Anolis sagrei: one gene and its partners. The protein of the gene in region 1 purifies or fractionates together with the protein of each later gene. This does not show direct contact. Links are inferred from orthologs where the notes say so. Each region holds a gene or a part of one and is shown in the gene's direction. Other genes may lie near its edges.

Evidence for each region.
Region 2: the proteins of MAPK8IP1 (region 1) and MAP3K7 purify together in Homo sapiens (pull-down; 3 studies listed by BioGRID and IntAct, with this or other methods). This does not show direct contact. The link is inferred for Anolis sagrei from reciprocal best matches to the Homo sapiens genes MAPK8IP1 and MAP3K7.
Region 3: the proteins of MAPK8IP1 (region 1) and MAPK9 purify together in Homo sapiens (affinity purification with western blotting; 4 studies listed by BioGRID and IntAct, counting the BioPlex papers as one, with this or other methods). This does not show direct contact. The link is inferred for Anolis sagrei from reciprocal best matches to the Homo sapiens genes MAPK8IP1 and MAPK9.
Region 4: the proteins of MAPK8IP1 (region 1) and MAP2K7 purify together in Homo sapiens (affinity purification with western blotting; 3 studies listed by BioGRID and IntAct, with this or other methods). This does not show direct contact. The link is inferred for Anolis sagrei from reciprocal best matches to the Homo sapiens genes MAPK8IP1 and MAP2K7.

The regions. Positions count from the first base shown.
Region 1 is NC_090021.1:277,861,527-277,868,457, forward strand, and holds the start of MAPK8IP1 (C-Jun-amino-terminal kinase-interacting protein 1), read left to right. Parts: upstream 1-3,931; 5' UTR 3,932-4,298; coding exon 4,299-4,384; intron 4,385-6,931. UniProt on the Homo sapiens protein: The JNK-interacting protein (JIP) group of scaffold proteins selectively mediates JNK signaling by aggregating specific components of the MAPK cascade to form a functional JNK signaling module. Required for JNK activation in response to excitotoxic stress.
Region 2 is NC_090021.1:104,198,672-104,205,857, forward strand, and holds the start of MAP3K7 (mitogen-activated protein kinase kinase kinase 7), read left to right. Parts: upstream 1-4,174; 5' UTR 4,175-4,404; coding exon 4,405-4,494; intron 4,495-7,186. UniProt on the Homo sapiens protein: Serine/threonine kinase which acts as an essential component of the MAP kinase signal transduction pathway. Plays an important role in the cascades of cellular responses evoked by changes in the environment.
Region 3 is NC_090022.1:87,597,309-87,604,992, forward strand, and holds the start of MAPK9 (mitogen-activated protein kinase 9), read left to right. Parts: upstream 1-4,673; 5' UTR 4,674-4,813; intron 4,814-7,684. UniProt on the Homo sapiens protein: Serine/threonine-protein kinase involved in various processes such as cell proliferation, differentiation, migration, transformation and programmed cell death.
Region 4 is NC_090022.1:112,614,069-112,621,756, reverse strand, and holds the start of MAP2K7 (dual specificity mitogen-activated protein kinase kinase 7), read left to right. Parts: upstream 1-4,667; 5' UTR 4,668-4,723; coding exon 4,724-4,847; intron 4,848-7,688. Other genes in the region: volume-regulated anion channel subunit LRRC8D-like, read left to right, coding at 301-1,599. UniProt on the Homo sapiens protein: Dual specificity protein kinase which acts as an essential component of the MAP kinase signal transduction pathway. Essential component of the stress-activated protein kinase/c-Jun N-terminal kinase (SAP/JNK) signaling pathway.

The DNA.
Region 1 (6,931 bases):
ATTCAAATAATGGAGGTTTTGGGCTCTATATAACACTAAAAAGGCTGTAGTGATGTGACAGTGTTTTTCTGACACAAATCATAGCAGATATGGTTCCAGATGAGTGCTTGATTTCCATGTAGATTTTTAGAAAGCTTTCCTGAGGCAGAATACCTGGTTGTCTCTAAATATTAAGATATTCTATATATTAGTGTCATAGTGTTACATTTAAATTGGTTTAATAATCCTTGGATTTTATTTCATTTCCCGCCTGTAAGAACCATCGGACTGAGAAGCTTCAAGCAGCTGATTCTGTGATATGAAAAGGAAACAAATTATTCAGGTTTCGTTGTAATAACATTGCTGCAGTGGGAGACTTTTCTTTGTTATGCTTTAAGAAGGATAGTATTTTTGGTTGATCTTTGTACAGTTAATAACTACCTTGTGGGTTTGGTAGGGAACAAAAACCTTATGAGATAGTCTTTGTCTTGAAGTTTGTATATATGAGCCTTCAAGACATCGGTTGACTTACGGAGACCCTATGAATTTGATGAGGTTTTCCTAAGGAAGAACTTCCGTACTTAGAAATAGTTTCATTTATTCCATTTTATATACAGTATTCACTCTGTGATCCACCCTGAAGGGGACTCAGGGTGGATCACAGAACACATACACGCAAACATTCAGTGCTGTTATACATTGACAGGACACATGACTGTACATAAAAAGAGGTATATATAGGCTTTCCCATCTTCCGCATGTTGGAGACTGTGCTTGGATCCGGCCATGGGGAGAGGTGGAGGGTGCTGCCACTCCACTTTCCCTGCCAAAGAGCTTTGCTTGTAAACTTCCTCCTTGATCAAATGGCTGGCATTTTTTCTGGCATTTTCTTATGTGTGCCTTAAATACCTCCACGTGCCTTAAATACCTCCACCCCAACCATGGCTGGAGTCAAGCACAGTCTTCAAGATGCCAGAAATAAGATGGGGAAAACTGCCTTTACCTCTGTTGTGTGGTCTGTCCTGTTATTGCATAATCGGCATTGAATGTTTGCCATATGTGTATTCTGTAAAGCTGCTCTTTAAAAAAATATAAATAAATAATATTGCTAATTTCAGGCTCTTGCAATAGAATAAAAAGCCAGTACATTACATTATTCAACTTACTCATTACTAGAGTTCCAGTCCTTTTTCTCAGGACTTTACATTTAGTCATTCATTCCATCTGCCATCTAGCATGAGGACGTTGCCCTTGTCTTGAAAGATCTTTATGGTTTTGTTCCACCCTATCCAATTTTGACTCATTTTACCCCATGTTTCTGCCTGTTTCTTCTTATATCCTATCCATAATCTTTCCTTCTTTTATGCTCACCTCTTAAGACAGGTACTGAAAGATTTCCTTCCTCTTATTCTCTCTTGCTACTCATGCTTGGAATTCCTTCCCAGATCACCTATATACGAATCCTGTTGAAGTTGAGAGCAAGAGTGGAGGTAGAGCCGTATTTGGTTAGGAAGAGAGGCTGGTCACAGATTCAAATTTCTGCTCTTCCGTGCGCTCACTGGATAACCATTGCTCATTCATTCTGGCTCTGCTTAAGCTTCCTTCCCTGCTGACAGTGAGGCGGAGTTGCCTTTCTACTGCCTTGAAATGCTTAGATAAACAGCAGAGGAGATGGTCAATGAAAATTAAGAGCTGGAAGCTACTTTTTAGAGGAAGGAACTGGCAAAACCACCTCTAAGTATTCCTTGCCAAAGACAAATTAATGGGATCACTGTAAATTGAAACATATATGAACATGAATGTAATCAATACAAAGAAGCCATACCCTTACGATTTCATCCCAGTAATCCTCAAGAAAAAAGTGGCCTTAAATAATAGGGGACTTGGTGGTTCTTATTTGAGATTCCCTTCTTTTTCACTGGACCTCCCCTCGCTCACATGTTTAAGCAGGGAAATGCAGTGCACACACCCTTGGCACTGAATTGTCATTGCTATCTATCTCAGGCATGGGCAAACTTCGGCCCTCCAGGTCTTTTGGCCTTCGACTCCCACAATTCCTATCAGCCTAAGGCCTCTTCCTTTTCCTCCTCAGCCACTTGGCTGAGGAGGAAAAGGAAGGGGCCTGAGGCTGTTAGGAATTGTGGGAGTTGAATTCCAAAACACTTGGAGGGCCGAAGTTTGCCCATGCCTGTCCTATCTTCATAATCAAAGACTTTCAAGGGGGCATGGCACTGAACAACAACAACAACAACAAACAGCTTGTCATTAAAGACTTTCTGAGGACATGGGATTTAATTAGTTCTATCATCATTACATTTTGAGCACCCCTTACCCAGAATTCTGGAACCTGAAATGCTTCTAAACCTGAAACTGTCCACATGAGTGGCTGAGAGACTGAAACTGTTGCTTTCTAATGGTTCAATGTATCCAAATCGTGTCATGCATAACATTATTGAAAAATATTGTCTATAACATGAGCTTGTATATAAGATGTTTATGAAGCGTAAATCAATGTTATGTTTAGACTTGGGTTCCATCTCCAAGATGAAGGATGTATGTCTGTGAAAAGACAGGGGTTCCAAAATCCTGGGGAAAAAATATCTGAAACCCAAAACATTTCTGGTCCTAAGCATTTTGGAGAAGGAATACTCAAAATAGCAATAGAGTCTTGATTATCCAACCTTCATTCATCCAACATTCTGTATTATCCAACGCAGTCTGTCTCCTGCCCAGTTTCACTGCTCTTCCAATACATTGAGATGTTTTGGTGCTAAATTCATGAATACAGTAATTACTACATAATGTTACTATGTATTGAACTGCTTTTTCTATCGATTTGTTGTAAAACATGATGTTATGGTGCTTACTTTGTAAAGTCATAATATATGTTGATGTTTAACAGGCTTTTTCTTCATCCCTCCTTATTATCCAACCTTTTCACTTAGCCAACATTCTGCCGGCCCGTTTATGTTGGATAAGTGAAACTCTATTTATTTATTTATTTAAATACTTATATACCGCCGTTTCTCAGCCTAGCCGGCGACTCAACGCGGTTTACAGCATAATATAACAGTCAACAATATACAGTTAAAATATACTGGAATAATAAACCACAACCATCATCATTATCATCTCTTCCTCCCCGAAAGGCTTGGAAGGTGAGCCCATCTTCCCAGGGCCCTTCCAGACAGGCCCTATACCCCAGGATCTGATCCTAGGTTTTCTACTTTAAATTGGATGATATGAATCCCCACTGCCAGATAATCTGGGATAAACAGAAAAGCTGGGATCAGATCCTGGGATATTGGGCCTGTCTGGAAGGGCCAGCAGTCAAGCCCTTCCTTCTCTAATTGCCTCCCTAGCTTTTCACAAAGAAGAGCTGCCCTTTCCTTCTTTTTTTCTTCCTTCCTTCCTTCCTTCCCTTTCTCTCCTTCACTTTTTCTTTCCTTCTCTTTTTCTCTCCTTCCCGCCTGCCTTCCTTTTCTTTTCTTTCCTTTTCTTTCTCTGCCTCCCTCTTTCCTTCCTTCCTTCCTCCTCTCTCTCCCTCCCTCCCTCCTTCCTTCTCTTTCTCTCCCTCCTTCCTTCCTTCTCTCTTTCTCTCCTTCCTTCCGTATTCCTTCCTTCCCTTTCTCTCCCTCCCTTCCTTCTCTCTCTCCCTCCTGTCTTCCTTCCTTCTCTTTCTCTCCCTCCCTCCTTCTTCTCTTTCTCTCCCTCCCTCCCGTCTTCCTTCCTTCCCTCCATCAATCTCTCCTTCCTTCCTTCCTTCCTTCCTTCCTTCCTTCCTTCCTTCCTTCCTTCCTTCCTTCCTTCCTCCCTCCCTCCCTCCCTCCCTCCCTTCCTTCTGGCCTCCCTCCCTCCCTGCCTCCCACCCACCCACCTGCTTCCCCCTGGTCCTTTCTGGAGGGGCTCCTCCTTCTCCTCCTCCTCCGCCTTTGCTGACGCCGTGCTGCCCCTCCTTTTCGCGGCCACCTGCCTGGCGACGAGGGGCGGCCCGGCTTCACCTGCCTCCGCCGCAGCTCCCCGGGGCGCCAGCGAGGAGAGGAGAGGAGAGGGGAGGGGGCCAAGCTCCCCTTGCAGAAGAGGAGGAGGAGGAGGAGAGGGACCCCTGCTTTCTCCCCCTCCTCACCCGCTCCCTGCTCTCCTCCTACCTTCCCAGCTGCTGAAACCGCGCCTGCTCTGGGGCAGCACCAGTTCAGCCCTGCCTTCTTCGCCTGTCTCTCTCTGCCTTTCTACCAGCATCAGCAGCCTCTTGCCTCCTCCTCCTCTTCTTCATCTTCCTCCTCCTCCTCCTCCCCTGCCCGCCTGCATGGAGAGGGAGAATGGCGGATAGAGAGAAAGGAGCCACGTCCCCGACCGGATCCTCCCCGTTCCTGGGCTTGCACCTCGCCTCGCCTCCCAATTTCAGGTAGGGGAGCCTTCCTTCCTTCCTTCCCCTCTCTCTCATCCTTGGGGGCCCTTCCCAGAAGGAGATGCTGGGGGAGAAGGACAAGGGAAGAGGAGATGGAGGAGGAGGAAAAGGGGGAGCCACAGCCTCCTTTCTGCCCCCCACTTGCCCACCTTCCCTTCCCCAATGGATTCTCATAGACCCCCTCCCACAACACCCCCCCCCCTTTAGCCTATGTGCTTTGAAAGAACCTTTCCATCCTTCCTCTCTGCCTGTCTATCAATCTGTCTATTTCAGCTGAATGTTTATTATAAGGATGCAGGTGAAAGATGCTCTGCACTGAAAGATGAGGAGGTGGTGGGGAGAAATGGAACACCCACCCACCCCCATTCCCATATTTCCTCCATTTCAGGCACCTTTCTAAGGAACCAAGAGGCAATAATGGGTGCAGTGGGTAATCTATCTTCCCCACACATCCTCTGAATGGTGGCATTGCCCAGCAGGTGGGTGCCAATAGCGCCTCTCCCTTTCTGGAACAGGTGGGGCACAGGAGTGTGGCTGACGTGTGCGCCTCTGGAACAGAACAACCAGGGCTGGGGGGAGGAGGAGGAGGAGTGGCATTTGTCTTGCTGATTTGGAAGGAAAGAGGTTATTTGGAAGGGGGGGTGTTGTCCCTCCTCACATCTTCCAAATATCACTGACATTCAAGCTGCCTGGCACAGACACCCCTGCTTCCTTGTTCTCCTTATCTCAGCCCCACAGTATTACACCCAACACAACCCTATCTGAATCCAAGCACTACCTCACACTGTTTCTGACCTCCCTACATATTCCCCTCATTATTCCTTCCATATCAGCAGCTTCCACAGACAAATCTTGCATCTTCCCAGGAAATAGCGACCGCCACACTGATAAACATGGACATCCGTGAAGCAGCCCCTCTCCCTATTCTTCCAAGTGAATCTGGAAGCCAATCCTGAAGGCAGATTTATAGCTGATTGAATCAGGGTGGTAAATATTAGACACCATATTGGATTTGAACCATTAGGAGAAAAAATGTCATGTTTACAAGGATGAAGTGACAATACAAACCAGACAGGCCTTGAAACCACCTGTTTCAAGCATCTTTGCATAGGCTATTGAGATGATTTCTTGAACATTGTAACATGATCCTACCACTGAAGGTACATCCTGCCTCTGGGTAGCAATTCAGCTCCTCCATGTTTGCTCATTTAATTGCTTGTGTCTGGTTTGTGTTCTATGTTTATCTGCTTTTTAATTGTGGGAATTAAGAATTGTCTTTACAAACCTATGATTATTGGTTTCTAAATATCCAGTATGTTTTCTGATTTGAAAGCATTGCAGAGGGAAATGTTTTCTGAACTGGAAGAGAAACTAAGCTCCTCAATCGATTCTCCATGTTGCAAGATTTTTAGAGTGCCTTCAACCTGGACTGGTTGCAAGAAAATATGTCACTTTTCATGGGGCTGGGAATGGAAGATGATGGGGTTTTTAGTGATTGATTATGACTTTGTAAATGAGATTTTCTGTGACTTAATGGGTTTTGTCTGAGTAGAGCTGTCTGTTTGTCTTGTGTATCTTGGGATCTGAATGTTAGTAAGAGAAGATTGGGTTGCTGTGAGTTTTCCAGACTATATGGCAATTTTCCAGAAGCATTCTCTCCTGATGTTTCACTCACTTCTATGGCAGGCATCCTCAGAGGTTGTGAGATCCTCACAACCTCTGAGGATGCCTGCCATAGATGTGGGGGAAACGTCAGGAGAGAATGCTTCTGGAACATGGCCATACAGCCCAGAAAACTCACAGTAATCCAGTAATTCCGGTCATGAAAACCTTCAATTATCAAGTTGTCTCCAGAACCAAGATTCCCCATAGAAAAGGCAACCCTGTCTCCAGCCTATCCAGTCTATGACTTGTCACAAACAGTAATGGGCAAAGAAGCTACCTACAAATAAAAACATCTCTGATACAGTGATGACGCCACTAGATTAGCTTACATTATTCAAGTCTGCTTCTTACAAGCTTGAGCTTTCAGAAGCCTAATATTTAACCTTTACAAGAGACCATAAAACTTTGTCACGTGGCATTTTCAGATGTCAAAAAGAAACCACTGCTTTCTTTTCATCTAGTCCAGATACGTACAATGCTAGAAGAACAATCTCTGTATTGTCAAAGGCTTCCATGGTTGGAATCCCTGGGTTGTTGTGAGTTTTCCAGGCTGTATGGCCATTCACATGTACTTCAAAAAGACAAGAATTCTTTCTCCCACCCTGGACATTCCACAGATATATAAACCCCATTTTTCTAGTTTCCAACAGACCTCACATCCTCTGAGGATGCCTGCCATAGATGCAAGCAAAACATCAGGAGAGAATGCTTCTGGAACATGGCCATACAGCCCAGAAAACTCAAACAACCCTGAGCAATCTCTGATCTCCATGAAAAAAGAGGGAAGCATGCCATGTCCTCCCGCCCCACCTCACCACCACACACACACAATTTTGTTTTCTTTTGATTTGCTTCCATAAGCATTCAGATCTGGAGAAG
Region 2 (7,186 bases), about 170 Mb from region 1:
CTTGTGATCCCACCAGTCCTTTTTCAAAGGGAGATGGTATTTGTGGCACAAGTTCCAATGAATAATCTGAGCAACGATGTTATGCCTCTGCTTGTAGTCTGTCTGTGTGATCTTCTTGCAGGAGCTTATTATTATTATTATTATTATTATTATTATTCATTTGTTAAATGTCTCTCCTCACAGCTTGAGGCCAGATACAACATGGTTAAAACACACTGATAAAATATATTAAAATTAAATTAGATTATTCTTTCCATCATTTTCCTATCTATGATTCTATGATATCAAAAATGGTAAAAGGCTTGTATCCAGCATTTTGGTCATGGAAACAGGACAAAGAACTAAAACTATTCTTTCTACAAGCTTGCTCCCCAGGCAAGTGCTGAACCCGGGGGGGGGGGGGATCTTTCTTTTTTTAATAATCTTTATTGGGGGAGTTGTGTGTGTGTGGTGGGGGGGTCTTGGGTGCATCTATACCCTGGAATTAGAATCACAGAATAATAGAGTTGGAAGAGACTGCATGGGCCATGCAGGAAAAGCACAATCAAAGCACTGCTGGCAGATGGCCATCCAGCCTCAGTTTAAAAGCCTCCAAGGAAGGAACTTCCACTACACTCGGATGCAGACAATTCCACTGCTGAACAGCTCTTACAGTCAGGAAATTCTTCCTAACATTCAGGTGGAATCCCCTTTCCTGTCATTTGAATCAATTGCCTCAAGTCCTAATCTAAAGGGCAGAAGAAAACAAGCCTGATCCCTCTTCCTTCTGACACCCTTTCACATGTTTATACATGGCTATCATGTCTCCTCTCAGCCTTCTCTTCTGCAGGTTAAACATGCCCAGCTCTTTCAGACGCTACTCATAGGGCATGGTCTCCAGACCTTTGATCATTTTAGTCACCCTCCTCTGGACACTGTCCAATTTGTCAATATTTTTGAACTCTGGTGCCCTTTTATCATGCTCTTTATCACATATGTCCACTGCTCGTTAGAGAGCAGTTTTATACCACTTTTAACCGCTATGGCTTGATTCTATGGAATCCTGGGATCTATAGTTGGGTGAGGCAGCAGCACTCTTGAGCAGAGAAAGCTGAAGACCTGGTAAAACTAAAACTCTTATGATTGCATAAGACTTGGGTCCCTTCCACACAACCCTCTATCCCAGAATATCAAGGCAGAAAATCTCACATTATCTGAGTGTGGACTCAGATAATCTAGTTCAAAGCAAACATTGTGGGATTTTCTGCCTTGATATTCTGGGATAGAGAGCAGTGTGGGATAGAGGGCAGTGTTTGTTTTAAGTACTTTTTTGTTATTATATGTTTATATTGATGTTTTACTTATTGTTTTGATTTGGTTTGCCTATCTGTTTGATGTGTTGTCAAAGGCTTTCATGGTCAGAATCACTGGGTTGCTGTGAGTTTTCCGGGATGTATAGCCATATTCCAGAATGCTTCTGGTCCAGGAGCATGGCCATGCAGCCCAGAAAACTCATAGCAACCCTCTGTCAGTTGGTTTTTGTATGGCATTGAATGTTTGCCACTTTTTGTTTGGGAAATGCCCTGAGTCCTCCTGGGGAGATAGGGCGGGTTATAAAGAAAGGTGATGATGATGATTAGTATTATTATTATTATTATTATTATTATTATTATTATTATTTGAAACACAACAAGATGCGTCCACAGCAAACAAGATCACTCTGGCTGTTATATTGGATGACACGTTGGACACTTCCCACTGTGTGATGCATCAGCGAATAATGCATGCAGATCCCAGTAGGATGGACCTTTGCAGCTGGCAGATGGTAATATTGTCAGCGCTGATTGTGTTTAAGTGCAGGCCAAGGTCTTTAGGCACTGCATCCAGTGTGCCAATCACCACTGGGATCACCTTTACTGGTTTGTGCCAGTCTCTGCAGTTCGATCTTTAAATCCTCATATTGTGTCAGCTTTTCCAGTTGTTTCTCTTCAATCCTTCTGTTGCCTGGTATTGGAATATCAACTATCCATACTCTGTTTTTTAACACGACTGTGAGGTCAATATTATTATTATTATTATTATTAAAGAGAAAACCTGGGATCAGATCCTGGGATATAGGGCCTGGAAGGACCCCTAGTTTAAAGCAGGTATTGTGGGTTATTCTGCCTTGATATTCTGGGTTATATGGCTATCTGGAAGGGCTCTAACCCATGTTATCAATTCAAACTGCATTAGTTGTACAGGATTTACCCCTCTGGCACCGTTGGCTTCCATTCAGTGCTAGCGGAGAGTAATAACAATATAATAATAAAACTTTATTTGTATTCTGCCCTCTCTCCCCGAGGGGACTCAGGGTGGATTCCAACAAAAAAAAATGGCAAATATGTAATGCTAAAACACATTCTTAAAGAGAATACAAAAACAAACTATTCAAATACCAAAAGTAAACAAAAGCTACGACAAAATTGAACAAAAATTAAATGTTAACATAACCCACCAGTTACATCTTGTATAAAAATGTGCATAAATTATATAAACACACATAATGATTATTGAAACAGTTATTAAAATATTTAACGATGAGGACAGTAGCACTCCCTCGGCGCATCTACACAGTGGGGAATTGATACTTTGACAACACTTTTAACTGCCAGGGCTTTTCTGTTGGTCATGAGGGTTCTGTGTGGGAAGTTTGGCCCAATTCTCTCGGTGGGGTTCAGAATGCTCTCCGATTGCAGTTGTTGTTTCTTGTTCAATCGTTTCCAAATCTTCGTGACCTCATGGACCAGCCCACACCAGAGCTCCCTGTTGGCCGTCACCACCCCCAGCTCCTTCAGAGTCAAGCCAGTCACTTCAAGGATGCCATCCATCCATCTTGCCCTTGGTCAGCCCCTCTTCCTTTTTCCTTCCATTTTCCCCAGCATCATTGTCTTCTCTAAGCCAGGAGTCCTCAAACTAAGGCCCAGGGGCCAGATACAGCCCCCGAAGGTCATTTACGCGGCCCTCACTCAGGGTCAACCTAAGTCTGAAATGACTTAAAAGCACACAACAACAACAACAACAACAACAACCTTATTTCATCAGCCAAAAGCAGGCCCACACCTCCCATTGAAATACTAATAAGTTTATATTTGTTTAAATTGTTATTCGTTTTAATTATTGTATTGTTTTAAAGGGTTTTTGCACTACAAATAAGATATGTGCAGTGTGCATAGGAATTAATTCATATTCAAATTTTTATCAAATTATAATCCGGCCCTCCAACAGTTTGAGGGACTATGACCTGGCTCTCTGTTTAAAAAGTTTGAGGACCCCAGCTCTAAGCTTTCCTGTCTTCTCATGATGTGGCCAAAGTACTTCATCTTTGCTTCTACTATCCTTCCCTCCAATGAGCAGTCGGGCTTTATTTCCTGAAGTATGGACTGGTTTGACCTTCTCGCGGTCCAAGGCACTCTCAGAACTTTCCTCCAGCATCACAGTTCAAAAGCATCTATCTTCCTTCGCTCAGCCTTCCCTATGCTCCAGCTCTCACATCCGTAGGTTACTACAGGGAATACCATTGCTTTAACTATGCGGAACTTCGTTGCCAGTGTGATGTCTCTACTCTTCACTATTTTATCGAGATTGGTCATTGCTCTCCTCCCACGAAGTGTCTCCTGATTTCCTGGCCACAGTCTGCATCTGCAGTAATCTTTGCACCTAGAAATACAAAGCCTGTCACGGCCTCCACATTTTCTCCCTCTATTTCCCAGTTATCAATCATTCTTGTTGCCATAGTCTTGGTTTTTTTGATGTTTAACTGCAACCCAGCTTTTGCACTTTCTTCCTTCACCTTGGTTAGAAGGCTCCTCAGCTCCTCCTCGCTTTCAGCCATCAAAGTGGTATCATCTGCATATCTAAGGTTGTTAAGGTTTCTTCCAGCAATTTTCACCCCAGCCTTGCATTTATCTCTGATTATAGGTGAACTATAAATCCCAGCAACCAAAACTCCCGAATGCCAAGGTCTATTGCTATGGGATCCTGGGGGCTGTAGTCCTATAGGGCCCCCCGTTTCCCTTGCCGAAGAGTGCTGCTGCCTCCCCAGACGAGAGCTCCCACCCGGGATCCCACCGCCTTGAGGCCTAGCAGCGGGGTGGTGCCCGGCTGAGCCTCCCTCCTTCGTGGGAGGGCGGGGGGAGGGGGCGGGGCGGCTCCGGGAAGCGGGCGGGCAGGAGGAAGAGGAGGGCCGCTGGCTTCCTTGCCTCCTCCGCCGCCAGCCATGGCTCCGCCTGGGCCTCGCAGGCAGTAGCGGGAAGAGGCCGGGGAGCAGGGCACAGGCCCGGCGGAGGAGCGGCCCTCGCCCTCCCCGCTTCACGCCGAGCCCGCGGGGCCATGGGCCTCCGGTGAAGCCGGCCCGGCGGAGGAGCCTCTTCGGCGGGCGGAGGGATGTCTTCGGCCGGCCCCGCGGACATGATTGACACCCAGCCCGTGCTCAACTTCGAGGAGATCGACTACAAAGCCATCGAGGTGGAAGAGGTGAGGTCCTGGGCCGCGCCGGGCGTTGGGGCGCCCAGCCTTGGGGGACTTCAACTCCCAGGAGCCCCGGCCAGCCAGGACAGCACTGGGGCATTCTGGGAGACGAAGTCCAAAACACTCGAGGGACTCAAGCCTAAGGCCCCACCGGCACTGCATTGTATGGCCTTCGCTCAGGCACGGGCAAACTTCGGCCCTCCAGGTGGTCCGGACTTCAGCTCCCAGCAGCCCCAAACATCCAGGACAGCACTGAGGGATTCTGGGAGATGAAGTCCCAAACCCCCAAGGTTGGTGACCACTGGTGTTCGCCAGAGGTGAGGACTAGGCCCCTTCCACACAACTGAAGAAAATCCCACATTATCTGCTTTGGTTATAAGACAGTCTGGACTCAGGGCCCTTCCAGACAGCTATATAACCCAGAATATCAAGGCAGGAAATCCCACAATATCTGCTTTGAACTGGGTTATCTTGAGTCCACACTGCCATATATTCCAGTTCAAAGCAGATATTGTGGGATTTCCTGCCTTGATATTTTGGGGGCCCTACCACACAGCCCTATATCCCAGAATATCAAGGCAGAAAATCCCACAGTATTTCCTTTGAACTGGGTTATCTGAGTCCACACTCAGATAATGTGGGATTTCCTGCCTTGATATTCTGGGATATAGGCCTGTGTGGAAGGGCTCTCGGATAACTCGAGTCAAAGCAGATGTTGTGGGATTTTCTGCAATTATATTGTGAAGCCCCTTCCTCACAGCTACATAAAATCCCACATCTGCTTTAAACTGGGATATATTAACAGTGTGGACTCAGATAACCCAGTTCACATATTGTGAGATTTTCTGCCTTGAGATTCTGGTCCCCTTCTGCAATAGCTAAATAAAATCCCACATTATCTGCTTTGAACTGAAATATAAAACAATGTGGACTCCAGGCCTTCCACACAGCCCTCTATCCCAGAATATCATGGCAGAAAATCCCACAATATCTGCTTTGAGCTGGGTTGTGTGAGTCCACACTGCCATACATACCAGTTGAAAGCAGATATTGTGGGATTTTCTGCCTTAATATTCTGGGTTATATGGCTTTGTGGAAGGGCCCATAGACATTGCCACCGTTCATATTGATTTCAAAGGATGTATATACTACACCACGGAACAAATGCAGCTTCCCATCACTTTAACTACCTTGACTCAAATAAGTAAATAAGCAAAACTTTATTTCTCTCCCACCCCATCTCCCCATGGGGACTCTGGTTTCCATCAAAAGTGGTAAACATTCAGTGTCATAATAAAAACAGAAAAACAACAAATCAGTCGACACAATAAATAAAACAACATCAATATAAACTAATAATAACTAAACAATAAGACGACTGCAATAAATTAACAGCACATTCAACAATCATACAAATCACAAGTGAAACAATAATAGCAAATTAAAAACAGTATCAATAAAAACATGATTAAAAGCCATGGCAATATTAAATTCTTATTTCATAAGGCCAGATTTTTGACCATTCACATCTCCATGAGCCTGGGTTATGGGTTTTTTAAGGTTTTTATTTGCTTCCTAAAGGAGGACAGCAATTGGGCCATTCTGATCTCCTTTGGGAGAGAGTACTAAAGGCTATTTTATTTAGTACTGGGAGTTGTGGTTTGGTGAGGAGCCATCACTCTTTGGCAGAGAAGGCCTAGTAAAACCAAATCTCCCATCATTCCAGAGCACTGAGTCATGACAGCTAAAGTGATGTCAAACTGCATTTCCTCTACTTTATTTAGATGCTCCCCAAAACTATTCCTTACGTCAGGCATAAGCAAACTTTGGCTCTCCAGATATTTTGGACTTCCAACTCCCATAATTCCTAACAGCTACTGGAGGGCCAGAGTTTACCCATGCCTGCTTTAAGTCCTTGCTTGGGACAAAATCCATGAAGAAATATGTAGAGGACTGCACTGCACATTGCTATCAGGACGCCAGTGTTATTCAGGAAATGGTCTTTTTCTCCTGCATCCCACCCCTAAGTACAACTTCTTGGTACTTCTCACTCCTTAGTGAAGATGAGAGGACCACTGGACATAAGAAATAAATAAATACATTAGAATTCAAATCACATCCCTACTCAAATATGGACAGATTTTTGAGAGAAACCAGGACTCAAAAGTTATTTAGAGTCAGATCTGGCAAACTCAGGCTCCCTCTACACTGCCATATAAAATCCAGATTACCTGCTTGGAACTGGATTATATGGCAGTGTAGACTCATATAATTCAGTTCAAAGCAGATAATCTGGATTATCTGCTTTGATGATCTGGATTATATGGCAGTGTAGAAGGTATGAAGTTTTTAGGGATATTATTGGGTCACTTCTTATCAGTTAGTGAGTAGAGAAACAAGAGGTAAAATATAACAAAACAATAAAACCAATACACTTTTTCAAGTGCCCGTCCAGAAACCTGGTCTTAATTTTAAATCTCAGGGTAACCTGTGGAGATTTGGCTCACATAAAGGACCTGAGTATTCCCTAAAGGTATGCATCAAACAAATAAAAGCCATGAAAGACTTCAACCACACTTTTTAAGAGACTGCTGTTTTTCTACAGCAGGTTTAGTTATTTTTCAAGCGATGTGTTCAAAGCAAACATGATGTAGTGTTTTGAATTTTGGATTATGACTTTGAAGGCCAGGGTCTGAAA
Region 3 (7,684 bases), on another chromosome or scaffold:
TCTTTTTGAACAGCTCAAATGCTATGCAATTAAAGAAAATATTGATTACAGTGTGTGTTTCATGGATTCCTTCTTAGACACTGTACACATGCCAGTCCACAGCACTCCGTCTTGCTTTCTTAGTATCTCACAATAGTAGCCAGCAACCTTCCAAGTTGTTTTCTATGACCCCTGGATCATGTCTGTACACGCATCGACATTGGAATAGCCTGGTCTACGCGTTTGGATCATGTGATTTTAATGTTTTTATTAGGTGTTTTAATTCTTATATTTCACATTTTAAATGTCTTTTTTTCCTTATCTTATAGTAAATTGTCCTATTAATTTTATGATTAATTATATGGTGTTGATTTGTGATTTGGTTTATGTATGTAAGACATTGAATTTTGCCATTATTTCTGTGTAACCCGCTTTGAGTCCCCCCAGGGGTGAGAAAAGCAGTATATAAATACTGTAAATAAATAAGCAAAGGGAAAAAATCCCCCTTCTGAAACTGCTATACCTGGAACTGTGGTTTTCCCTTTTAAACAAGGTTAGCCTCCCCTGTGCCTTTTGAAAAGTCAAAGGTGTTAGAAAATTTGATGCTTAGACCAGTTTGTTTGGTGTTTATTACTTATTTATTATTTAAAACATTTATATTCCACCCTTCTAACCAGGAAGAGGACTCAGGGCGGAGCACAGCATATATACGGCAAACATTCAATGCCAGGATAAGAATTCATTATATGCATACATAAACATTAAAAACATTTGTCTAAATATTAAAATACACTGTTTAAAACTGTCTTGATCATCTGCGTCCAATCTAATTGGCCTGGTAAGGTTTCCTATTGCTGCTTTATTGCATCATCCTGAAAGCTTGGTCTCACAGCCAAGCTTGTGGGACCAAATTTGTGGGGAAAGGAGTACACAGAGGTCTTAGGCATGGAAAAGTGGGCCCTGGATCTTGCTTTAGCGGTATTCAAAATTGTAGTTTAGGATAGGGCTCTACAGAGAAGAAAAGCTTAACATTTTAAAAGTCTGAAATCACCAGTGACAGTGAAAATGCCTGAGCAGCTGGGGTTTCACCTATAAAGAGATGTTGAGGTGGTTCAACGAGTATATCTCAATATGAGTACAATTGGCCCTTTGTATTAGCTGGGGTTTGGTTCCAGGACACTCTTTGGATACTAAAATCCATGGATGCTCAAGTACCATTATAAACAATGTTATGGTAAATTAATGTCTTAAACAAAATGGCAAAATCAAGGTTTGTTTTTTGGATTTTGGGTGGGGGCGGGCAGGGATATTTACAAGCCCGTGGATGATTGAATCTATGGATAAAGAATTCAAGGAAACAGAAACAACTGTATAGCTCAATGACACTATCAATTTAGTGTGTGGTAATAATTTTTATACCCTGCCTCCATCTCCCCAAAGGGACTCAGGGCTGCTTAGACATGGGACAAAACGTCCACAGTAGGTAAAGGTTTTCCCCTGACATTAAGTCCAGTCGTGTCCGACTCTGGGGTGTGGTGCTCATCTCTATTTCTAAGCCGAAGAGCCGGCATTGTCCGTAGACACCTCCAAGGTCATGCGGCTGGCATGACTCAGTACATAAGGCAAAAACATAAAAGCAAAACAATCCATTAAAAACAAAATACAATTAAAATAAAACATACCAAAACAAAACATAATCAGATAAAACACAAATAAATGGGTATAAAAACATCAGCCTTAAAGCTCAGACAATACACAACAAAAACCAATAGCCAGAAATACTAAGGTGGTAGCTAGTTATAGAAAAGATATAAAAGGATGAAGTTGGGCAAGAAAGGAGCTTTGTGATGCCTCTGTGCTCTTGTATCCAAAGATTCTAACCTGTCTATCTTATTGAAAACTGAAGTACTAATTGCCCCAAAAGAATTGTGTACATAAACATCCTTTAAAAAAAAGGCAGCCTTTGCATCCCAAACTAAAAGAGGGCAGGCATGTATGATAGGACGGATATTCACAAATTGTGGAATATCCTTCCCTCAGAGATCCATTGGGTATCCAACATTGATACAAAGCATTCTGGCACTGAGTAAGCACATTTTTTTTATTAAACCCTTTGAAGTCAACTTGATTTTAATTCAATTTTATCATTTGCAAAGTTTCAGGTGATTCTCACTTATTTTAAATTGCCTATTCTAAAAAGTATAACCATACAATATAGTCTGTCTTAAATTGTGTTTGTCTATGCCACCTTTGGATTCTTGTGTTTAGGGTGGCATCTGCTGTGTATGATTGTATATGGATAGATAGCAAGCCACGATTGAAATATAAGTACCTATATACAGGGGCAAATTAGATATTTCTTTCCTACACTAGAATTCTGAATCTTCCTGGCAAATATCTTCATACAAATCACAGTTAATTGATAAAATTACCTGCCACAAGATGTAATTACCACTAGCTTGCATAACTTTGAAAGGGAATTACACAAATAGATATGTCTTATGCATGGCCCCAAGTAATGGTATGTTGTTTGAAACTATCAACTTCAGGGAAGCACCATTTGCTGGGAATTAATAGGAGAGAGCTATTACTTTTACTCCTTATAGAATTGTCAGTGAGCCATTAGGACACTATTGTGGCAAACAGAGATGAGTTGGCCATACAAGGCACCATGTGCCATTTCTCCAGTCCTATGCCTTCAAATCAGCATAAACCCTATAAATCTACATGCTTGCCCTTCATCATGTTCTCCCTCTATTGAGAATGGCAATTGTGAATGGCCTTCAACTATAAAATGAGCACAAAAACTGGTTGGCTCAAACCTTACCCTGAAATCTTTGACGGAACAAGAGGACAAACTTTTTACATATACAACGACCACTGCTAGAATTGTTTTTGCTAGAGAGTGGAAGCAAGGCACAGTACCACCCGTACAGGATTGGGTGGAAAAAATCAGAGAAATAAAGGACATGGACGAACTGACTTTTTTGTTGAAGAAAAATACAGGCATGATAATAAAAAGAACGAATTGGGACAATCTTCATGACTATCTGGACAATTTGCGAATATAAAAAAACAAGAGAGACAATTTTATTATCTTTAATAAAAAAAATATATTTTTGAATAACAAGAATATTTTATCCAAGAAGATGGAATGGAAGTCACTTTTTTTCTTTATTTTTATTTTTCTATTTTTTTTGTATGTGGATTTTGTAGGGTTTTATTTAGGATATCTTTTTTTACTTCTTACTTTATTGGCCTTTCCCTCTCTCTTTTTTCTTTACTTTTCTATACCTAATTGTTCTCACTCTTTCGTTGTATTCTATATAAAATTTAATAAAATTCCTTTAAAAAACACACAGTTACAATTAACACAATTAATTGAAATGAGGACAGAGTGATCAAACTGCCACTTTAAATATGTATCTCATTGCTAGGTCAAGGCAGATTTATCTCATTGTTGGGGGTGCTTTTTTCTATTTACAATCATAGTGCTTGAGTCAGCTGTTTTTCCTTGCCCATGACATACCACTTTTTGAACTACAATTTGATTTATATGCTGACACTGACCAGGATTGGGTCAAGATGGAAAAAGTGGACCAGGAGCACTCAAATTAGCCAAAACTAAGATGCATCCATTTAAACATCATGTGCTGCAGGTATACTGAAGTAGGATCCAACTCATAATAAACATCTATTAATTGGTGCCTCACTGGCTTTGGAAAGTCCTTTTGGTTTGTACATATGAGTACAGACAGAAAGAAGAAAACATGTTCCTCTCAGTTTTTCCCTTCAAGTATTTTGATAACTAATATTGATTATGTTTTCCTTCCTGCCCTTCCACACAACCATATAACTTAGAATATCAAGGCAAAATAACCCACAACATCTGCTTTGAATTGAGTTATCTAAGTCCACACTGCCAAATATTTAAAGATTGAACTGCAAAGACTCTGGCACAAGCCAGTCAAGGTGGTCCCAGTGATGATCGACACACTGGGTGCAGTGCCTAAAGACCTTGGCCTGCACTTAAACACAATTGGCGCTGACAAAATTACCATCGGCCAGCTGCAGAGGGCCACCCTATTGGGATCTGCACAGATTATTTGCTGATACATCACACAGTCCTAGACACTTGGGAAGTGTCCGACGTGTGATCCAATTCAACAGCCAGCAGAGTGATCTTCTCTGCTGTGAACTCATCTTGTGTTTCTAATAATAATAATAATAATAATAATTGGGAAGCGTTCGACTTGTGATTTTGTGATATGAAGTCCAGCATATAGCTCTCATTTGCTGTGACATACTGTGTTTTTGTCTGTATAATAATAATAATAATAATAATAATAACAATAATAATAGTCCTAGACGCTTGAGAAGTGTTCAACTTGTGATTTTGTCATACGAAATCCAGCATATAGATCTCGTTTGCTGTGACATACTGTGCTTTTGTGTCAATAATAATAATAATAATAGGACTCCGGACTCGACAGTGAGGGAGAGTGTCAAATTCAAAGGCAGATGACATGAGCTCAAAAGCTTCCCTCGTCCCCTCCCTGCTTCCTTCCCCTCCCTCGGTGACACAGGAAGGCGCGCAGAGCGCCTCCCGCCATATATAGTGGCCTTTAAGCCCCGCCTCCGAGGGCTGGTTGGTTGAGCCTGGGAGGTCCTCAGCGCGGATTGGGCGCGCGGGTGTCCGTCAGCAGATCGGGGCCTGGTGCGGCCTGTGAGAGACTGAGGGAGGCCATTGCAGCTGGAGAGTCTGGGGAGCCTCTGGAGGGAACGAGCGCCGCCGCCGCCGCCGAGTGCGCCTCCCAGAGCGGGTGTCGCGGAGGTGAGGCAGGCCGAAGGAGGCGCCGCCGACGGTGCGGCCGAGGAGCGAGCGGGATTTCTGCGGGGAGGAGGGGAGGGGGGCCGAGCCACCTTGAGGGGGGCGGCGGCGGCGGCTACGACCATCCGCCTCGGCCTGCGCCCCCGCCTAGAGCCATTCCTGGCCTGGGACTCGCCCGACGAGGCCTCGGAGATCGGGGCGACCTTTACCCCCCCCCCGCGCCTTGCCCATTCCCCTCTCGGGGGCCGCACTCCCCTCCGCCTCGCCTGCTCTTTGGCCAGGAGAAGAGGCTTGGGATGCGGCTTGGCCCCGGAGAGGGTTTTTGGCCCTTGTTCGTGAAGGGCCAGGCCTCCTCCTTGGGCCAGCAGCCTCTCCCGAGCCACCCCCCCCCTTCCCCCGCCACTTGCACCCATCGTTTTCACGGGCTAGGCATATGGCGCTTTCTGGAGGTGAGCATCTTGCAATCATCAGTGCAGGGAACTGTCTCTGCTGGCCATAGTGGGCATCCAGATGTTGAATTGCGAATCTCAGCATTGGCTTACGGTTGTGGACCCTTGTTTTAAGGTTTGGAGGATGCGATGGGCAAGGTCTCCTTTTTTGGCGAGGAGAAAGACTTTCAGGAAAGCCATTTCCCCTCCTGGTCCACTCACACATCCTCTTCATCATCCCTGCTTGAGGTGAACATCATGCATTAATCAGTGAATCCAGCTGTCTCTTCTGGCAATAGCAATGGTTCTCAACCTGCGGGACCCCAGATGTTTTGGCCTTCGGCTCCCGGAAATCCAAACAGCTGGTAAGCTGGTTGGGATTTCTAGGAATTGTAGGCCAAACCATCTGTGGACCCACAGGTTGAGAACCACTGGGAAATAGGGTCTTGTGGGCCTCCAGGTGTTGAAGCACAAATCTAGGCGTGATGCTAGCTGAGGCCCTACAACATCTGGAAGGTACTATGATTCCCACCCTAGTCTATGACATGGGGTAGTTAAGGAGATGGGAATTAGTAGCACAATTCTGCACCTGTTCATTTGAAAGTAGGGTTTCAAATGAATTTACTAATGAGGTTTACTTTTAAGGGTCAATTGCACAAGTTCCATTTTGTGTAACTACAAAATGCCATCTCAAACCAGCCACAATATATTGCACTATTTTTATTGGAGATGTTGGTGTTGGAGGCAGTTCTAGACTCTTCGTGGATGGCACTTATTTTATTCCAGTGTTTATAGCCTGGCCACGCTGCCATCAATTTACCTCCACGGTTAGAGGATTGCAGTCTGAATTGATGTTTTTATATGTCCATTGTTTTATTGTATTGTATTTTACGTTGTGTTTACTTTTATGTTTGTTTGTGCCATCTGTAAGCTGCCCCAAGTCCCTTTGGGGAGATAGTGGTGGGATATAAGAATAAAATAGTTATCATCATCATTATTACTTTGCTTTGCATGTAGGTGTCTGTTTGTTTCTTCTTTTAAAAAGTTATGTATGTGAGATTGTTAAGTCTGGGTTGTGTTATATCCTGCTGTCCTCAAATTCATATACTGCCTTTTAAGATTGGTTGTTGGACTGATTTGTTTCTACTGATTGGTTAGGGCAGTTAGTTTCTTTACTAGCAAAAGATTGTTCTCTTCCTATAGTATGTCTCAGTCATGATGTTTATTTTATTTTCTTCAATTTTATTACTGTTTATCGATTACTTTCCTTATATGAAAAATACATTAATAACTTTCTTGAACATATGTTCACTATTGGGAGAAATCACTAATTCCTAAGACAGCGGGAAAGTGATTTTGGGAGATTTGACTTGTCAGATTACTATATAAGTTGACTGTGCAATCAGTAAATGTAGGGTTTACAACAGATGTTGCAATCATGGAGACTCAAATCCAAATCCAATATGTTTTCTGTTGGATAAATCTACAGAAAACCAAAACTAGCTGACATTTTGGAGCTGCACCTCTATAACAAATTGTGTTGTTATCTATTCCCATGCAACTCTGTTGTACACAAATACACTCAGTGAGATTTACTTTCACATGTGTTTCTCATGAAGGCGACAATGACCTAGCATAGTTAATAAGCTATATGCTATGGTTTGAGCGCACATGTTTACCAGTACATGCAATGTCATAGTATCAGTAACTTCTAATTTATATACTTTATAGGGAATGATCATGTAATTTCTGCTCTTGCAGTTTAGTAGACATGGAAGCGTACTTCTTGTTTTAGGGAGTATTACTTAATTTTAGTGCAGATGCATATTTTACATTTCAATGAATAAATAATATATGTTAGCTAATCTTGTGATTTTTTTTATTTGAAGATTTTCTTACATATATATATCATAGAACATGACCAAGCATTATACAATCTTCAGTTTTCACAACAGTGACATAAGATGCCATTTGGTGCATTTGCAGTGGCACTTTACTGCTGGTTCATACCTGGATGTGCTCCAATCAATGTATGATTCACTTTTGACCAGCTGTATTTTAGTATTCAATCACTACTGGAAGATTCTGTGGTGGTTCATTCCTGTTTCCCTTGGGTGCTTGAGAGAAATAATACAGTTCAGGAATAGTATGTAACTGCCATGTATTCTGGACAAAACTTGTGTACGCATACCTCCAGTCTTCTTTTATGTAATGGTGTATGGTAGAATTGCTGTTTTCTTCTTAGCTTCAGTAAAACCCAGAGGAAAAACAGTACCCTGTTCTTCATCTATACAAATAATATCAAAGTAACCTACTGTAGCTACCCAAAAGATGATTTAAAAAACCGAGTTTACTTATACAGGCCATCCTCAAGTTATAAACATCCAATGTACAAACAACTCATAGTTACGACCGGGCCTCCCCCCTCCCCCCCGCCATGAAATCT
Region 4 (7,688 bases), on another chromosome or scaffold:
AAAACTGGCTTGATCTTGAGGTTCTGTTATCTTCTGTATGGTGTCCTGAAATGCAATGAGCACGGAAGGTTCTGTAAATTTTCAATGGAGGCTATAGTAGAAAATGGCGCACACATTAACTCATAAACAGCCTGGGAGCAAGGGAGGTGGTTGTGAGAAAATTCCTAGAAATATAAAATCCAGTTGTAAACACAGATCTGGGCTCTTATTGTGAATAGAATCACACAGGCTCTTTTATCAGTGAAAAATGGAAGAGAAAAACAATGACGTTATTGAATTCATATTCTTTTTTTTCTAGTGATGTTTACTCTGACAGAAGTCACCTTCCGCAATGAGAGCCATGTTCGGTTCCAGATATTAAAGCCTTGGTGGGATGTCCTGATGGATTACTTAGTACTTGCAATGCTGATGGTTTCGCTTCTCTCTGGGACTTTGCTCATCTCTGTTGACCAAGTGACATGTCTGCCTTTGAGCAACAAGCCAAATGAGACCACAACAGTTACCTCTAAACCTGGAGCTATAAATCCTGCCATCAATGAAAAAATTATGGCTGGAAAAAGTGGCCATCCTGTGAAACTTGACTACCAGCAATACTTGTTTATCAGCCACATCTGTTATCAAAAGGCCTTGCCCTGGTTTTCAAAATATTTCCCTTACCTTGCACTTGTTAACTCGATGCTTTTAATGGCTAGTAGCAACTTCTGGTTCAGGTACCCTAAGACTTCATCAAAAATCGAACACTTCTTGTCTATCCTCATGAAATGCTTCGAGTCACCTTGGACTGCCAAGGCTCTCTCCGAGATGGCCTGCCAGCATGTCATAGGCCGACCCAAGACCCCTGGTGCAGGAGGGTGCCAAAACCAACTGATATCACCTTCCTCTTCTCCTATTCTAGAATGGAAGGACAAAGAGCAAGGCTGGGCACTCTTTGAGAAGATCTGCAGATTCAGGGCACACACTGAGAGCGCCAGCTTGATTTACACAATCTACACTGGACAAACCATCTTCAAAGTTGCAAAGGTCCTAACTGTGCTAGGCTACACCTACAGTTATGTAGGATCCATTGCCTTTAAACACATTTGCTGGTTAGACACAGATAACCTCATTGGCTACTCTACCTTTCTTTGTACCCATAGTTTGGCTTCCATTTTGCAGAAACTGATGGCTACTTATTTATTCTTGGTGTTCCTCTATGGGCTTGTTGGGATGTACCCCCTCTTATGGCTGGTACGACAACCGCTGCTCAAGTATTCTTTTAAGCAAATGCAAGAAGGCAGCCACTTAATTGACATCCCAGAGGTATACAATGATTTTGCTTTCCTGCTGCACATGGCTGACCAGTGTGACCAACTATACTCATGGCGCTTTGCCATCTTCCTTTCAGCAATGAGTGGGAGCTGCCCTTCAGATGCTGATCTTGACCATGATTTGGGTATTGGAGGCTGGAGAGGACATAATTTTCTTACCTTACTTACCAACACACAAACGCTTCCCAAATCAAAGCTTGGTAAAGTTCTTTTATGGGACACCCCCCAGAATCTCCCCACACCCACAAGTGTCTGGCAGAAGCGGTTGGGGACTTGCTGTCTAAAGAAGTAACTCTTTAGTAAATCCACTGCAAGGGGATTTGGGGACTCGCTGTCCAAAAAGTAACATTTTCCAGGCTACTGAATAAGGACTCTAAACTTTCCACCAAACCCATCATTTCCAATATCATAAAGGACAACACACCAGAACAACTCAACTCTTTTGAAAAGAGTCAAAGAGACAAGATGATCCACATCTGTCTGGTTTTAAGTTTTCTTTTTCTTCCAGTCAGGGCAATTTTTGGTAATGTTATGTTTCCATAAATTCTTAAGACACAATAGGCGAGCAAAAGATATATGAGACTTGTGTCACTGAAGGACCTAAGTGGGAAAAACATTCAGATCATACGAAGAAATGTCACTAAAACACTGCAGCAGCCTAGCAATTATTAAGGCAATTGGAAAAGAGGAAGCTTACTAATGGACTAGTAGTGTGGTGTAAAGTAAGATATAGCTTCTTACATGATATTAACTTCCCACAATGTACCCAATTTGGGAAAAAAAACACAAGGAAAATTTTACAGGAATATAAAAAAGTCGGTTTTACTAATGGGAAAGTCTATTGCCACTAAAAGTACTGTTAATACATAGGAGCTCAATGTTACTGTTGTACCTTAGCATAACATAGTATAGTATTTTCAGATGTCACCAGACTCCACTGGCTGCCTGTCTATTTCCAGGCACAATTCAAAGTGCTGGTTATGACCTAGATCAGGCATGGGCAAACTTGGGCCCTCGAGGCATTTTGGACTCCAACTCCCACATTTTGTAACAGCCTACTGGCTGTTACGAATTGTGGGAGTTGATGTCCAAAACACCTGGAGGGCCCAAGTTTGCCCATGCCTACCTTAGATGGTTCAGGTCCAGGCTATTTGGCTGACTGCGTGCCTTTGTACAAAGCTGTCTGAGTCCTGCGATCTTCAGGAAGGCCCTTCTCTCAGTCCCACCTCCACTCCAAGCTTGGTTTGTGGGGACAAGAGAGCGGGTCTTCCTTCTCGGTGGCTGCCCCACGACTCTGGAACTCCCTTCTACCCAGCAAAGGCAGATTGGCTCCCTCCCTGCTGTCCTTCTGGCGGCAGGCTAAAACCTTCTTCTTCAGGCAGGCTTTTAAAGAAGAAGGCCTTTAAGATCATTTCGGGGGGTGCTGTGGTTTTATATATTCTTATGGTTTAAATCTGAATTGTTTTTAATACTGATGATGTTTAATACTGTTTTAATATTTTTAAATTTTAAATTATATTGTAATGCTTTTAATGCTAGATGCTTTGAGTATCCTTATGGAGAGAAAAAGTGGGATATAAATAAACATCATAATACTAATGATATTAACAATTTTGTGATCCCTGATGTCACCAGCTCCCAAGAGACTGTAACTACAGCTTGGTGGCAATTCTTTTTCTTGGATGGTGCATTATTTCTTAACATGCCTTTTCTATTAGAAGTCCAGTCTTCCCCTTTTAAAAATGTGAGACAGAGATTCAAAGCAACTAACAAAGACCTAGTTCTCTGAGCTTTCAAACTGGGTCTCTTTAATCATTGTGTTACAAAAAATATGTACTGAGGCATCTATTGGTATCTGATGTATCTCACAATGACAGCATATAAAGCAGCTTCTCAAATGCCACAGACTGTGATCCCCAGTGACACTTTATTATGAAGTCAAAAATGGTACCAAGTTGTTTGTTCCTCATTTTTATTTCTTGCCTTCCTATTTGATTCATCAAGTGGGATCTGGAGGAAATGTGTACAGAACTGGAACTGCAGATATGCTATTTTTCAGGATTACAGGCAAGAGAGACACATACCAAGGATATTCCATTCTGACTTTCTGGTTTTAATTTCCAGTTGACACGCAACATTAATTTGGTTTCAAAAATACATAGGCAAAGGTTGAGACTCTCAAGCGGATACACTGCTTTCTGCATCACCATTTTGGCCACAAAGCCTCCAGGGAGTCCTTCTCTACTTGGGCATCAGAGACAGCACTGTGTTGCCTCTCCCGCCAAAAAGGTTTGCTAGAATCAGCCAAGATGATCCCACTTCTGCTCCAAGCTCCTGCAATCCTATGTTTTCCCAGAATCTTGGGGATTGTAGTTTTACAAAGACTGCTGGTGCTTCATCAAATCACAAAATAATAATAATAAACTCTGGCACAAGCCAGTCAAGGTGGTCCCAGTGGTGATCGGCACACTGGGTGCAGTGCCTAAAGACCTTGGTCTGCACTTAAACACAATCGGTGCTGAGAAAATTACCATCTGCTAGCTGCAGAAGGCCACCTTACTGGGATCTGCATGCATTATATGCGGATACATCACACAGACCTAGACACTTGGGAAATGTCCGACGTATGATCCAATACAACAGCCAGCAGAGTGTCTGCTATGGACTCATCTTGTTGCATTTCAAATAATAATAAAAATTAATATCACTTAATATTCTTTATATTCAACATTTAATGTTATTTAAAAATAATAATAATAATAAACAAGTGTTTCGATTTGTGATTTTGTGATACGAAATCCAGCATATATATCTCGTTTGCTGTGACACACTGTGTCAGTAAAATAATAATACACTTTTATTTATATCCCGCCACCATCTCCCAGAGGGACTCGGGGCGGCTCACACATGTCACTCAAAGTGTGACATGCAAAATACAACAAGTGCAAAATAAAACATAAACAATAAACAGTCAACACAACATCATACATTCACTATACCCCCTGGCAAAAACAATAAAATACAGAAATAAAGGATGCATACAAGTGGTATCAAACTGCATTACTTCTCCAGTGCAGATGTACCCAGTGTCTGAAAGAAAAGCTAACTTCTCTGCGACTTCCAGACGTGCTGCTCCTGTCCCTGAGAAAGTGGGGGAAGCGCATGCGCGGCAGATCTCCAACACGTCCCGTAGACCGAAGTAGACGTTCGAGCCCGGCGCATGCGCAAGAGAGGAGACTGCCAGGCAAAACAAGCGCCGGGCAAAGCCGGAGCCCAGCCTGGTTTGCGAAGGAGGAGGAGGGCGGGGGGAGGAGTACGGCGGCCGGGTTGGTTCATGTGGCGCCTGCGCAGTGCGGTGTTTGTGTATTCTGGCTGCGCGGTGGCGGCGTCGGCTCCGGGGGAGGGGGAGGGGGAAGATGGCGGCGTCCTCGCTGGAGCAGAAACTGTCCCGCCTGGAAGCCAAGCTGAAGCAGGAGAACAGGGAGGCCCGGAGGCGCATCGACCTCAACTTGGAGATCAGTCCGGCCCGGGCTCGGCCTAGTAAGGGAGGGCCTGAGGGGGGAGCGCTTCCGCGGAAGGGCCCAGTGTCGGGTGGGACGGGCGGCGCGGAGGAGGGCGCCTGAGCCGAGGGGAGGCCTGGCCTCGCTTAAGCAGGGGCTCGGACTGGGCTGGCGGGGCAGGAGGACTGAGGGGAGAAGTGGGGCCGGGGAAAGAAAGAGAGCAAGGCGTGTGTGTGGGGGGAGATCTTCGTGGCGAGGGAGACTCTCATAGCAGACAAGGCCGGCGTGCGGCGGGGGAGCCACATGCCTGGACTGGCCCTTATCTTTCAAGGCGACCGGTTCAGGGGGAAGGAAGGAAGGAAGGAAGGAAGGAAGGAAGGAAGGAAGGAAGGAAGGAAAGTGTCAGGAGCAAAAGGGGTGGGCCACAGAAAGTATACAGATACAGATAAAGAGATTATCTTGAACCAATGTGTTTTGTGATGGGGCAGGAGTTGTGGATGATGGCAATCAGAAATACTTTTTCTTTAAAGATGTGGGGGTCCCCTTAGTTCAGTGTTGGGATCACAACATTTAGCAACAATAAAAGGTCAATGTGTTGTCGAAGGCTTTCATGGCTGGAATCACTGGGTTGCTGTGAGTTTTCCAGGCTGTATGGCCATGTTCCAGAAGCATTCTCTCCTGAAGATTCGCCCACATCTATGGCAGGCATCCTCAGAGGTTGGAAATTCTGCAACTGAGGTTTATATATCTGTGGAATGTCCAGGCTGGGAGAAAAACTCTGGTCTGTTTGAGGCAGGTGGGAATGTTGAAACTGATCACCTTTAAATGGGGCCACAAAGTGAATTCCGTGACATGCGAATGTGGAGAAGAGCAAACCACAGACCACCTATTACAATTCAGTCTGAGCCCTCCCACATGCACAATGGAGAACCTTCTAATAGGCACTCTAAGTGACAAGCTACTGTCAAAGGACATTTAATATAATGCTTTGTGTGTGTTTTTAACTTTGTGTTTTTAAATACATTGCAACTGTACCCTTGGGCTGCTTCTGATACAATAAATAAATGAAAACCTTAATTTCAACAGAAAGGAGGAAACCATGAAAAAGAACAAAATCTGGCTACCAGTATTAAAAAACTCTAAAATCAGGACAGTTAATAAAGAACAACATTCACAAACGGGAATTCCAGACAAAAAACAATCAGGGCCAGCTAATTACCTCCTAACAAACTATTCCCCCAGGCATGAAGCAGCCAAACTTGGAAGCTGCAAGGTTATTCAATGCTACTCAAGTTGATCAAGTGCAACATTCACAGTTGCCTCCAACTGACAAGAGTTTTTTCTCCCATCTTGGACATTCCACAGATATATAAAACCCACTTGCCTAGTTTCCAACAAACCCCTCAACCTCTGAGGATGCCTGCCATAGATGTGGGTGAAACATCAGGAGAGAATGCTTCTGGAACATGGCCATACAGCTCATTAAACTCACAGCAACCCAATAAAAGGTTAATTCATGATGTCAGTGTTATTTTAGACATTTACACAAATGTTAGTAAGAACATTTGTGTTTACAGTGGACTCTACAGAAAATACTTCAGCTGCATTTCATAAGAAAGGAAAATCAGACTGTTTAACTAGCCTTGTAAATGCAGATTTTTTATCTGTGAATTTTTATTTCTTTTTTATACCTATTTTATATACCTTTATAGCCGGGGTTGCATAAAACTTTCAAAGGCAGAAAGAGGTTGCAAGTGGGAAAAGTTTAAGAAACCCTGGTGTAGTGAAACAAATTACTTGGGAGAACTGGATTTGGGATCCCTCAGATCACAGCACTGGAAGGAGGGGTTGGGGGTGGATTGAAAGTTTGGTGTGCAGAAATAGCTACAAGTGAAGTTCAGTTCAGAGTCATTCTGTCATATTTGTCTAATATTTTTGTATGGATGAAAGTTTACAGATGTTTTAGAATAATGAACTAAATTCTAACTTAAGAATTAGAAAAGTCTTGAGTGTAAGTGTCAGACAGTGTTCCTCTGATTTCTCATACCTACAGTATAGGCCTTTTTCCTTGGCTGAAATTAAAGAGTCTCTGCTTCCCTGCATCCTGTTTTCAGTTCTGAAAACAATGGTACAGCATTGTCCTTGAAGAACAGTCTAGTTAATATTGTCTCTTGGAGCAAGGTGCTCTCTGTTGTGAGGACTTTTCTGGACTACAGTGATGTTTTTGCGATCCGCATGCAGTAGCCAAATGTAGAATAAGTTAAGAACATAAGAAGAGCTACTTGGATGAAGCTCATCAAGTTAGGCATGTAGTTCCTACAATGGACCAACCACATTTCTATGGGGAGCCCTTAGTTAGGATGTAAATGTAGTATTGCTATCACATTTATATTCTCCAACAACTGGTCTTGAAATATATACTTCCTTTGATACTAGAAGTAGTTTGTAGCCTCCAAAATGACTGGTTAGTGATAACTATATCTTCCATGACGTTACCTAATTCCTGTTTATATATTTTCACATTTATAGCAATTGCTGCATATTGTGGTGGCATATTCCCTAATTTAAATATTTGGTGTGTGAATAAATGTTTTGTCCGGTCTGTTTTGAATTGCCTACAGTTTGGTTTGCTTGAATAATCCAGCGTTTTAGTAATATATGAGAAGATGAAAAGCTTTGCCTGCCTGCTTTTTGCCCACTTTGCTTATATGTATACATACACATCAGGAGCCTTCCTGCTTACCACTTCTCCAGGTTTTGTTTTCTTAAACCAAATGTTGTAACTTTTTCTCCTAGGGAAATGGCTCTAATTATTTTATTATTTTGATTGCCCTTTCTGCGCCTTTTGAAGTTGTACTATTCTTTTTGAGTTGTAGTGACA